Mus musculus: one gene and its partner. The protein of the gene in region 1 purifies or fractionates together with the protein of each later gene. This does not show direct contact. Links are inferred from orthologs where the notes say so. Each region holds a gene or a part of one and is shown on either strand. Other genes may lie near its edges.

Region 1 (5,278 bases):
AGTGCCTCCTGAAACTCCCACCCCCACTGAGGTGAGACCACATGGGGCCTTGCTCCCTTTTCCTTTGTCCCCTTTCTCTGCTCTCTTTGTCCTTAACCCCACCTGTTTCCTTTCTGTAGTTTACACCCTTGGGGGAACCCTTGTCTACCCTGTGTCATCTTATGTTTCCCTAATTCACAACAACCAGTCACACATTTGTAAATTATATATTAGATTTATGACCTGGGCTCAATTCTCAGCACCCATATGGAAGTTCACAACCGTCTAACTTCAGGGCCAGGGGATCTATCTGATCCTCTCCTCTGACTGCCACGGGTACCAGGCATACACAAGCTCCACAGTCATACATCAGGCAAAGCATCCATACATTTCTTATACATTAAAAGTAAAACCCCAAGGTCATGTGATCTCTTAGTTACATAATCCTAAGACACGACCCGAGTTACATTTACATGGTGATGCTTCTTTGACACTGTTCCCCCTTCTCTACCCTCACGTCATAGCACATTTGTTTCATTTAACTCTCAATCATTAAAAACTTAAAGTTTTGTTTGATTATTGTCAGAATTTCCAAGTATTAAGTCTAAAATATGATTCTCAAAGTAGTACCCTTAAAATGAACAAATAATAGCATAGATTTATAGCATTTGAATATTTTATAATATACTTGTATCATGTGATGTCTTAAATGTCTAAGAAATATTCTAATTTGGTTTAGAAGATATATAATCTAGTAATAGTAAGTGATATAAAAATGAGGAATTAAAAAAGAAACCACGCTCATTCCTTCCAGAATGTTCTAACTTCATACTCATTACAACTTAAGTGATACAAGCTAAGATTGTATACATTTACATGTATAGAAACATAATTTTTATAGGTAACAACTCAAGAAAAAGCATTTAAATGAAAATGAGTGGAAGAAATGAGAGTGTAGCAGATGTGGGATTGTGAACGCACATACACATCTCAGCTGGTAACAGCAGCCTAACTCAACTAGTAGAGTTCTGGCTTCTCAAAGAGCTTAGATTCTAGAACAAAATTATGATGTTCAGTGAGGTTCCAACCCATTGGCAGGTATAGCAACAAACAAACAAACAAACAAGGCTTTAAATTTTCACCTGTGATGCTGAACACTGTTAGCTGCTGTGTTTTGTTCTGTTTGCATAACATTCAAATGAAAAACAGCATTGTCAAACTTTAAATGTCAGAAGTATTCATGCACCATTCAGATACCCATTTTTAGTTGAAAAGTGAAGTAAAATAAAAAGCTAACACAAACTCTGAACCTCAACTTCAGAGAGAAAAAAAGAGTGCCTGCAGCCAGGTACAGTCAGGTGCAGTCAGATGCAGCCAGTGCTGCCAGGGGTAACCAGTACAGCTAGGTGTAACAGATGCAGCCAGTGCTGCCAGGTGTAACCAGGTGCAGTCAGATGCACGAGGTGTAACCAGTGCAGCCAGGTGTAACAGGTGCAATCAGATGCACCAGGTGTAACCAGTGCAGCCAGGTGTAACCAGGTGCAGTCAGATGCACGAGGTGTAACCAGTGCAGCCAGGTGCAGATGAGGAGCTTGCCTGCTCTCCAGCCTGTTTGTGTTTCCTGGCTCCCTGTGTTTGGGTTCCGGACCTCTGATTCACATGCATCAGGAAATCTATTTGATCTAGAACTTATAATTCAAAGTCATTGGCTCTGATTACTACCTGGTGATTGTGTTTCTATGAAATGCTTAGAACTCTGAGTTTTGTAAAAGGTTAATTTGTTTAGTTTAAAAAAATATATGCATGTTTGTTTATATGTTTATATATATTTATTATATCTAAATTTCAAAGGGCAAAGAGGATATTTACATATTTAAAAATATTGCATATTTACATATTTAAAAATCCTTGGAGAACTATCTAATGCTATCAAAAGTAATTAATTTTAGTGTGATTAAAATGAAACACAAACTGTCAGATACATCAGTTCATAGTGTTTTTGGAAATAGCTTTAACCACATGTGATGCACATTTCCTGCAGCTACACTGCTTCGGTTGCGACATTTGTTCTATATGCAAAGACAAAGAATTATACTAGCAAAATGGAAGGAGAGAGCCAGACACAAGAGTAAAACAAGAGAAGACGACTTGGTATGATATTAGATGCTATTTGTTTTAAAGAAGGAAAAAAATCATTTCAATATTTGTTCATGTATATTGATAAAGACACTGTAAGTGTCACAGTTCTTGGGGGAAAGGTATCTTGGCATTTGGGAGCCAAGGAATACCACAGAGTCACACACCGCACCCCAAACCCTCACACAGGAGATTTACTGGCAGGGAAGAACCTAGGTGGTGGTTGCCTCTGCTCAGGTGAGAAGTAGCAGAAGTCAGGGTTTATATAGGATTTCTTGGGTTGAGTGGGTGTTGCTTTCCAGGGCGAGGATTGGTGGGATTTCAGGTCTTTTTACTCTGTAGGGAGGGCCTGGGTCCGATCATTAGTGCAGTTAGTGTGTTCTGTGGGTGGAACCTGGCCTTGGAGGTCCTCAGAGGAGGGGCCTGCCTCATGTGTCTCCAGGGGATTACATTCATCCCCATTTGTGTTTATTATTGATAAACAGTTGGGGTTGCGAAAGGGGCAATGTTATCATTGCCCTATTTCCTGCTGAGTGTGAGTGTAGAAGGCCTTTGGGCAAAGTTGATGTTGTAGGCTGGGTATTATCAGGAGTCAACCACCCCAATAACTAGGGGTGGGTAATCCTGTAAAAGCAACTGATTAAAAAGTCTGGTTAAAAAGCATTTGGACCTGTCTGTTGCTGAAGAAATCTATACAAAAAGGAAGTTTATAAAGTGGGGCACAAGTAGGAGTAAGAAAAGGAGGAGGGGCTGCATTAAGAAAGGTGACACCGAATTCTATATTGGATTGTCAAAGAGCCACTGGCCAGGAGAACAGAGCTGATTCTTATGATTTTGGAGTTCTGTCTGGCGTTGTCTGCTCATGTCTTTTACTATACCCGACTGGTTGACATAGAAGAAACGTTCCTCCCAGAGGAAAAGCCAAAGATCACCTCTCTCTCAGCTGTTAGTAAATCTAATCCTTACTGATTTTGTAGTAATATGGTGGCCAGTGAGTCTATTTGGCTCTAGAAGGTAAGGATGGTTTGAGCCACCCGTTGGAGCCAAAGATGTAATCAGCCCTACCACAGCTGTGGTGGTGCTATCAGTTAGACCCTGGAACAGAAGAGAGATAGGATCTCAACCTCTTGTTCATCATACCATGCCACCCTGAACCCCGTGAAAAAGGAACATCAGGGTGCAAGTCCCAGACTACCTATCAGGTAGGCAGTGGAAAGTCTGAGTGACACAGAGGATTGAAGAATTGTAAATGTTTGGACAGAAGGGCAGGGTGGCAGTGCTCAGGGTCAAAGTATTATTACAGTCTAAAGGATCCAGTGTGCCCACAAAAGTATGTCCCCGAGGAGTTAAAACAGTTTGCAATACCAAAGACAGAGGTGTGAGAGAGATGAGGAGTAGAAATAGGAAGAGGATGGGTGTTGTGGACAACCATTTCAACATTGCCAGCTAGATATGCCTGTTTTGGGTACCACTGCCACTGTTACTGCCATACTTGTAATCACTTTGTGTACTAAGCTAGTGTTGTGATCATTGCCCTTTGCTTGATGATTGATGTTCTAACAGTGGAATGGTTGATTGCACACAACCAGCATTCTTTCTTTACTTATTCTGATTGTCTCTGAGAAAAAAACAGGGTTCTTTTAATCCTGATGTTTGACATGCTCTGGTTGCTACATAGTATGTATTAGCAATATATTATTATCGTTTATATATTATAGTTAACTGAATGTTTAGGAATTAATTCCCCCCTAGCTATACAATTTATTGGCGGACAGTCATTCTGCAGTCGGTGAGTGAGAGTAACAGGTATGTGCTGGGAACAGAGGCAAATGTTAGCTATGTGTGCTGGCTTCCCAGTATGCGCCCATCCTATAAATACCTCTACTAAAATTGTGTATGTGGGTTTGTGAGAAGTGTGTGTAAAATACTCACTAACCCATAGAAGCGTTTTCTTGTTACATAGTCTTCAGGAACTGTGTCAGTTAAAATGGGACTTGCCATAATGGTTAGTCAGTCAGGACTCTGGCGTGTGTTCTTTGACTTCTCCTCTCTCAGTTGTCTCCCCACTAGCACATTCATTCAGTGACTCCAAATACTAGTGATTCCACTGCTGGGATCTCTTCTTTGTGGCCCACGGCTCTCCTCTCTAGAAGAGGAGATGACACCAGGTCTTTCAGGGGCGGCCTGTGCCAATACTTATGACAATTAGTAGAAGTGGTCTATAAAAGTTAAGATGGTCCAGGGAGTTTTATGTGTTCATATGGAAAATTATCATTTAGATAATAATGGCAGTCAACAGTGTATAGCAGGTACTAATATCAAGTATTGTGCTAAGTACCATTACCTTTGACCCTTAGGACAATTCCATAAATTATTTATATTTATTATAAATTATTTTCATTGCAGATTTCAAAACATGAACTTCAGTTGAAAAAATGGAAGTTCAAGTTAGGGAAGCCGATTAGCCTTGAGGGGAGCCTCTCTGACATCGCTGTTGAGAACAGGCGCATAGCATTTGACATTTCAGTGCTACCGGAGCAAGCAATACTCCAGGTTTGTAGGAGTTTGTTGAATAGTTTTCTTACAATTTGAGTATAGTTTGGAGTTAGGGTAAGTATGTTTGCTTATAATTCCTTATTTTAAAAATTATCGGCTGGGCCGAAGTCTGGCTGATGAAGGGCGGAAGTAAGAGTACCAACTCCGCAATCATGGCTCAAGAGGAGGATGATGTTAGAGATTACAATTTGACGGAGGAACAGAAGGCGACCAAGGACAAGTATCCTCCAGTCAATCGAAAGTATGGATATTTGGATCATACGGCTGATGTCCAGTTACACGCATGGGGAGACACTCTGGAGGAAGCATTTGAACAGTGTGCCATGGCCATGTTTGGTTACATGACAGATACTGGGACTGTGGAGCCCCTCCGCACCGTGGAAGTAGAAACCCAAGGGGATGACCTGCAGTTTCTGCTGTTTCACTTTTTGGACGAGTGGCTTTACAAGTTCAGCGCTGATGAGTACTTCATACCCCGGGAAGTGAAAGTACTTAATATTGATCAGAAAAATTTCAAGTTACGATTCATTGGGTGGGGAGAAGAGTTCTCACTGTCCAAGCACCCTCAGGGAACAGAAGTCAAGGCAATAACGTACTCAGCAATGCA
Region 2 (5,722 bases), on another chromosome or scaffold:
ACAAAACAAAAGAAAAAAAAGAAGAAACTTCAAATAATGCTATGAGAAAAGATGACTATGGTCCATTTAATGTGAGTATGCCCCTTTCTATGAAAGTTACTTAAAAGCCAAATCTCAATGACTGTCATATGCATCCATTGAAAAGAAGCTGGAAAGTCACCCTGACCTGAAACCCAAATGAGGGAACTTCAATTGTACATGTGTATTATCGAAACAGGGTCCACAGGTATGAAATTATCACCACAGGTATGAGGGATACTAGCTTTCCTTCAAAGAAGGAAAATAGAGAAAATAGAACCCACGAAAGCCATAGCCTTTTTCTCACCTGCAGTTCCTCATCTGTCAGGTTCTCACCCAGCTCCTTGGCCACGCGCTTAAGATTCTTGAATGATATTTTCCCAGTCTCATCATCATCGAACAACTTGAAAGCTTTCAGGATTTCTTCTTTAGTGTCTTTCTCAGACTGGAGTAGAACACAAAAGTGATAGTTACTTATATCCAGCCACTCTTGCTACTCCCCGGTCATCTTTTTGTCTCCAAAAACCTGACTTGAACAATGTTAGGAAGCCAGGTCCTCTGATTCATGGTGGCATATATTCCCTTTCTACTTCCTCTGCCATCATCTATTCCATAATCAAATCAGAACTTAGTAGAAAAAAGATGCCTGCTTTTGAAAAAGTCAAGAAGTCCTAAAAAATAGACATGAGGACTTGTTGGGGGGGTGGGGCAAAGTATCATGTGGCAAGGACAGGTTCCTATTATAGCCGAACAGTCATATACTGTTTTCACAGGTAGAAGACAAGAGCCTCTGGAGTGAGCTGGGGCTCATCTTTCTAACACCTGACACTGGATCTGGCCAGGTATCTATACTGTCCCTCCTGTGCTTTGTCTTGTATAGAACGCTGCCCAGTTCTAATCCCAAGAAGGGAGTTGTAGGAAAACTATCTTCTTAGATTAATTCCCCGGCCATGGCCCACATTATCATAAGGTCCTGGTGATAGCTGTCATGATATATGTCCTTGGTCACAGGCAAACAAGTATGGTACATTGTAAAAAAAAAAAAAAAAAAGAAAACATACTTAGTAAAGTGAATATAAACTCAGGGGTTACATAGGAAATATAATTGTATATAAAGTACTGTACAAAACAAGCAGACACTAGATTCATTTTTAAAATATAGAAGCAGTGAGTAGGGTTGTAGTCAGGGAAAATACATTGCTAAAACAGATAGACTGATAAAGGCAGAGGAGGAGAGAGGTATTTTTCACAATGGCCTTCAAAGAATTACCAGGGCCCTGAGTCCTTGTAATGCAGAAGAGCAGAATTTCTGAAAGCGTTCAAACCTCAGCTATTTCAGGAAGGTTCTTGCCAGGAGGTTCAGGTGGAAGAATAATCTAGGAACCAATCTTAAGTGTGAACCATTTGTCTGAAAATGTCAGATTGACACCTGATTTATTGTATGATAATTTAATTTTTAATAATAATAAATTAAAACCAAAAATGACTAGCATTGAAAATCTCGGTGTTAAAAGTTTTTACTGCTTGTGATTATCATGTGGCCACATGAAACAAGATAATGCTAATACCTTAAAGAAAGCCAAATGAAACGTAGAGATCCTCTCAATTAAAAATACTATCTTCTCCCATGTGGAAGGGATAGATTTTGTTGGATAAAGCTCTTTGTATGTCTAGATTCTCATGTTTCTACCATTATGGGTAGAAAGCATGCTAATTATCTTAACTAACTTACCATTTTCTGAGTCATCACTGTCAAAAAGTCACTGAAGTTCATTTTTCCTGTTCCTTCTTTATCAATTTCACTTATCATTTTCTTAATTTCTTCTTTCTTGGGCTCAAAGCCCAGGGCCCTCATTGCCACCTACAATGAAAACAGAATCATCTAAATAGATACATAACGTAAAAACAAAAATGACTATTGAAGATATTAACCAAACACCTGATAAAATGATGGAAATGATCAGGGAACACTTAAGGCTGATTTAATTGATATTTGCAATCAACTTTATCAATTAGACCATTGTTTCAGGTAAAATATACACAGGGTACCCTTGTCTGTTACTTTTTGCAGGCAGAAAGGAGAAGAACGGTAACAGCTAAAAGACAAGCAATAAGGAAACACAAGGTAACAAAGAAAAGGATGTGTGCAGCTTACCTTCAGTTCTTTGATGTCTATAGTTCCAGTTCCATCAGCATCAAAGAGATCAAAAGCTTCCCGGATTTCCTGTTTCTGGTCTTCAGTAAGTTCAGGCTTAGGACTCATCCTTTTTCTCTGGGCACTGGATGCCATGGTTGTCTTCTTAAAATTAGAGGCCTTCACACAATATATAAACACAGAAGCACATTATTACAAGCCATAGTCCTTGTTTTATTTATGACAGCTCTAAACATACATATCTTTTTCAATGAGGTGTGCCATCGTTTGTAATGTACTTATGTCATTACGTAAACTTCCATGGGCCAGTGAGAATTCTTGCTGCCAAGCTTGATAACCTAAGTGGGAACCAGGACCCAGGCTTCAGTTGTCGTTGTCAAAGATGAAAAGGGAAACGATGCTTACATGGTAAAAGGAGAGAACTAACTCTTCCAAATTATTCTCTGACCGCCACACTCAGGCTAAAATGTGCTTCTCCACCAAGGAATAATAAGTGTAAAAACTAAAATAAAATTAACCCCAACTCTAAATGACAAATAGCACAAACCTCTGTGAAGAAAAAACTTTCTCTCAACTTAAAACTATTTCAATTTATATATGTCAGTTTTTACTAAGTTATAAAAAAAGAAATTGGCAATAATGAGGTTATTTTCTAATATAACTGTAAATTTGTCTTAATGTGATGTCTCATATGACTAAATTCAACTATATTTCATTGGGGAGCCACCAAATAGAAGAGAGTTTTTGTTTTAAAATAGTATATTACCATTTTCCTCCTTGTTCTTGTATAGATCAACATAGAGCAAGTGAATATATGAATATGAATTTCTAGTGTTAACATAGCCTTCATGAGAAGACATAACTCTGACCTCCACTGTCTTAAAGTTTATACTACAGAAAGTTCATGCAATTGTACCATTAATCCATGTGTCACTTTAGGAGATTCAATTTCAGTCATTTTTAAATCTAAAAAAGCATCATCAAAAGCTCTTTGAGAAACCAATTACAGTTATGGATGATCAACTGTATATGATTTCCGTACTCTCGGTTTTAGAAATGTACTTAAAACATCTACTTGTGGTGCCAGTTCCCAAGAACTCTGCTCCTCCAATTACTTATGCCTAAATTTGGCTAAATGTAAACTTACTAAGATAAAAATTATGCCGGTACAAAGTGATAAAAATCAAACCATTTGCACCTGCGTGCTTTCTCACAGCCTCTCCTGAAAGCGTTTGCGACCATCAGAACACAGTAAACCTCTTAGCACCAATGCATAAACTTTAACTGGGTGGCCGCGGCCAGGAGGCCTGAGTTTGACTGAGGCGGAAGTCTAAGGGAAGCAATAGAATGGTCACCCTGCTGTTTCCTGAAAGCCAGCGGAGGTCCAGAGGCAGTTTGTGCGGGGGTGGCTGAAGGTGACTTGGGCGAGGAGGGGGTAGTGGGAAAGAGCAGGCAAGGCAAGCTGCTGGCGGCTGTACTTTCTCTTCTACCCTTCCGGCACACAGCTCCAAGGAAGAACTAGTGCGTCAACGCCAAGAACCGTGCAAGAAAGGTAGCAAGGCTGCACCGAGGCCTAGGAAAGGACCGGGGACGCCGCGTGGGGTCCACCGAATCCCTAGCACTTACCATCACCCAACGGACTCTGCCACCGGTTGTTAAGGCAACGGCGTACTCGCAGCCTCAGCGGCGTTCCCACTGCTCCACGCGCGCACAGCCCGCTTCCCATTGGTTTGGGAACGAAGAGGTGGGGCTAACCTGGCAAAACTCGCCCAAGAGCAAGAGGGCGGTGCGTCGGCAGCCAAAGACTAGCCTCATTGGGCAAAATCATGCTGTGAGCGTCAATTGGTTGCGCCAGAGCCAAGCTAGACCAATCAACATTATGAAGGAAGCTCTGCTGATTGTGGGCTCATATCTATCAGTAGAAAAGGGTGGCGGGTGTTCAGCCAGACTTCTCTGGTTGCCGGTTGTCTGCAAGCTGAGGTCGATCATTTGAGTGTCTAAACCGGGTAAGAGTTGCGGGCTTGCCCTTAGAGGCTGCTGCGTGTGGGTGACAGAGCCTGGAGGAAGTAGGAGGGAATGGGTGGGACCCATTTTAAAACCGAGTTGGGGGACACAGAACATCTGAGGGGCCAGCAAGATATGACCAAATGGTTTGGAGGGGTGACTGTGCCAGGAGAAGCTGAGACCTCGAAACTGGAGTGGGCATGCTGAGTATTGTGTCAGTGGTTCACAGGGCTGGGGCTTAGAAACCCAATCCACATGAGGCTTTGTCTTTACATTAGCTCTACAAGAGTCACTTTAGCTCTCAGGGGAATGGGCTGGGGACTTTTAGATCTTCAAAACTCATCAAAATGTGTCCTGTTAGACGTACAGACACTCAAGTCACATGGGAAGGAGCATTCCTGAATGAGACTCCCTTGAAAGCAAAGCCACAGGAGTTTTGGAAGTATGGAATGTAAAGAGAATTAAAGGGCAAAGTGCACAACGGGTTGGGGCTACCTGGAGCTGTGCCAGGAGTAATGAAGGCCCAGGGTCGAACACAGATTCTATGTTCTACGTCCCTCAAAGCAAAGAAAATCAGTTTAGGGACTTTAAGGGCACAGTATCAGTCTCTCAAACTGAGAAAGGCCTGAGACTTAACAGCTCCCCATAAATGTAATATAGGCCCTTTGCCCTCTTTCCTTTAAGCCAGGAACCGGCTTCAAAACTTTTGTGTCTTGTTTGGCTCCTTTGTTCACTGCAGCAACAATCCCCCATATCCAGCCTCTGAGTTCTCACAGTTCCGTCCTTGAATTGTCCTCTGTTTTCTCTGTTCCTCCTCAGCCCTTCCTCAGCAGTATGAGCTGGAGTTCTCACCATAATCTGCAAAGCCTGCCATGAAATTCCTCCTTCTCCCATCACACCCACACTGTTCCCCCTCTGGCTCACTCTCACCCAGGGCACTATTTTTGCGGCTGATACATTCCTTCACTGACCTTACCCAGTCCCATGAACTTTTTAAAATTTTTTAGTATTTTGATTAATTCTTTGAGAAAATTTCACAGGTAGATATAATTTTTTTGTTTTGAGATAGGGTCTCACTCTGTAATTCTGGCTGACCTGGCACTCACTATGTAAACCAGGATGCCCTCAAACTTCACAGGGATCCATCTGCCACTGCCTCCTGAGTGCTTAGATTAAAGGTATGCACCAGCAAGCCTAGTATTGGTCTTCAGCTATTGTCACCTTCTCTGTAAAGGTAATCACTCTCTTTACTTTGTACCTGGGCCCCTCATATTGCTCCATATTTTTATAGTAGCACTTGTCACCTCCTAAGCCACTGTAAAGTTAACCTTTTTTCTTTGTTGTCTCCACTAGAAGGTAGGCACAGGAGGACAGGAATCATATTTGTGTTCACCAGTACCTGGAAAAGGAAAGACTACATGTTCAGTGTTCAGTGAACCTTAGTCTATCAGGTAGTCCATAAGTATCCCTTAGTTTTTCATAATTCACCCCTCTGCCAACATATGCTTATACTCTTACAGTGAACATCTCTGGTTTCATCAGTCC

Evidence for each region. Proteins that work in one complex are often made in the same cells at the same time.
Region 2: the proteins of Fbxl13 (region 1) and Cetn2 purify together in Homo sapiens (affinity purification with mass spectrometry; 3 studies listed by BioGRID and IntAct, counting the BioPlex papers as one, with this or other methods). This does not show direct contact. The link is inferred for Mus musculus from reciprocal best matches to the Homo sapiens genes FBXL13 and CETN2.

Annotation. Positions count from the first base shown.
Region 1 is NC_000071.6:21,614,040-21,619,317, reverse strand, and holds part of Fbxl13 (dynein regulatory complex subunit 6), read left to right. Parts: intron 1-2,020; coding exon 2,021-2,130; intron 2,131-4,521; coding exon 4,522-4,668; intron 4,669-4,758; exon of another isoform or gene 4,759-5,278. UniProt on the Homo sapiens protein: Substrate-recognition component of the SCF (SKP1-CUL1-F-box protein)-type E3 ubiquitin ligase complex.
Region 2 is NC_000086.7:72,914,515-72,920,236, forward strand, and holds the start of Cetn2 (centrin-2), read right to left. Parts: upstream 3,831-5,722; 5' UTR 3,803-3,830; coding exon 3,800-3,802; intron 2,333-3,799; coding exon 2,174-2,332; intron 1,880-2,173; coding exon 1,751-1,879; intron 464-1,750; coding exon 326-463; intron 1-325. UniProt on the Homo sapiens protein: Plays a fundamental role in microtubule organizing center structure and function. Required for centriole duplication and correct spindle formation. Has a role in regulating cytokinesis and genome stability via cooperation with CALM1 and CCP110.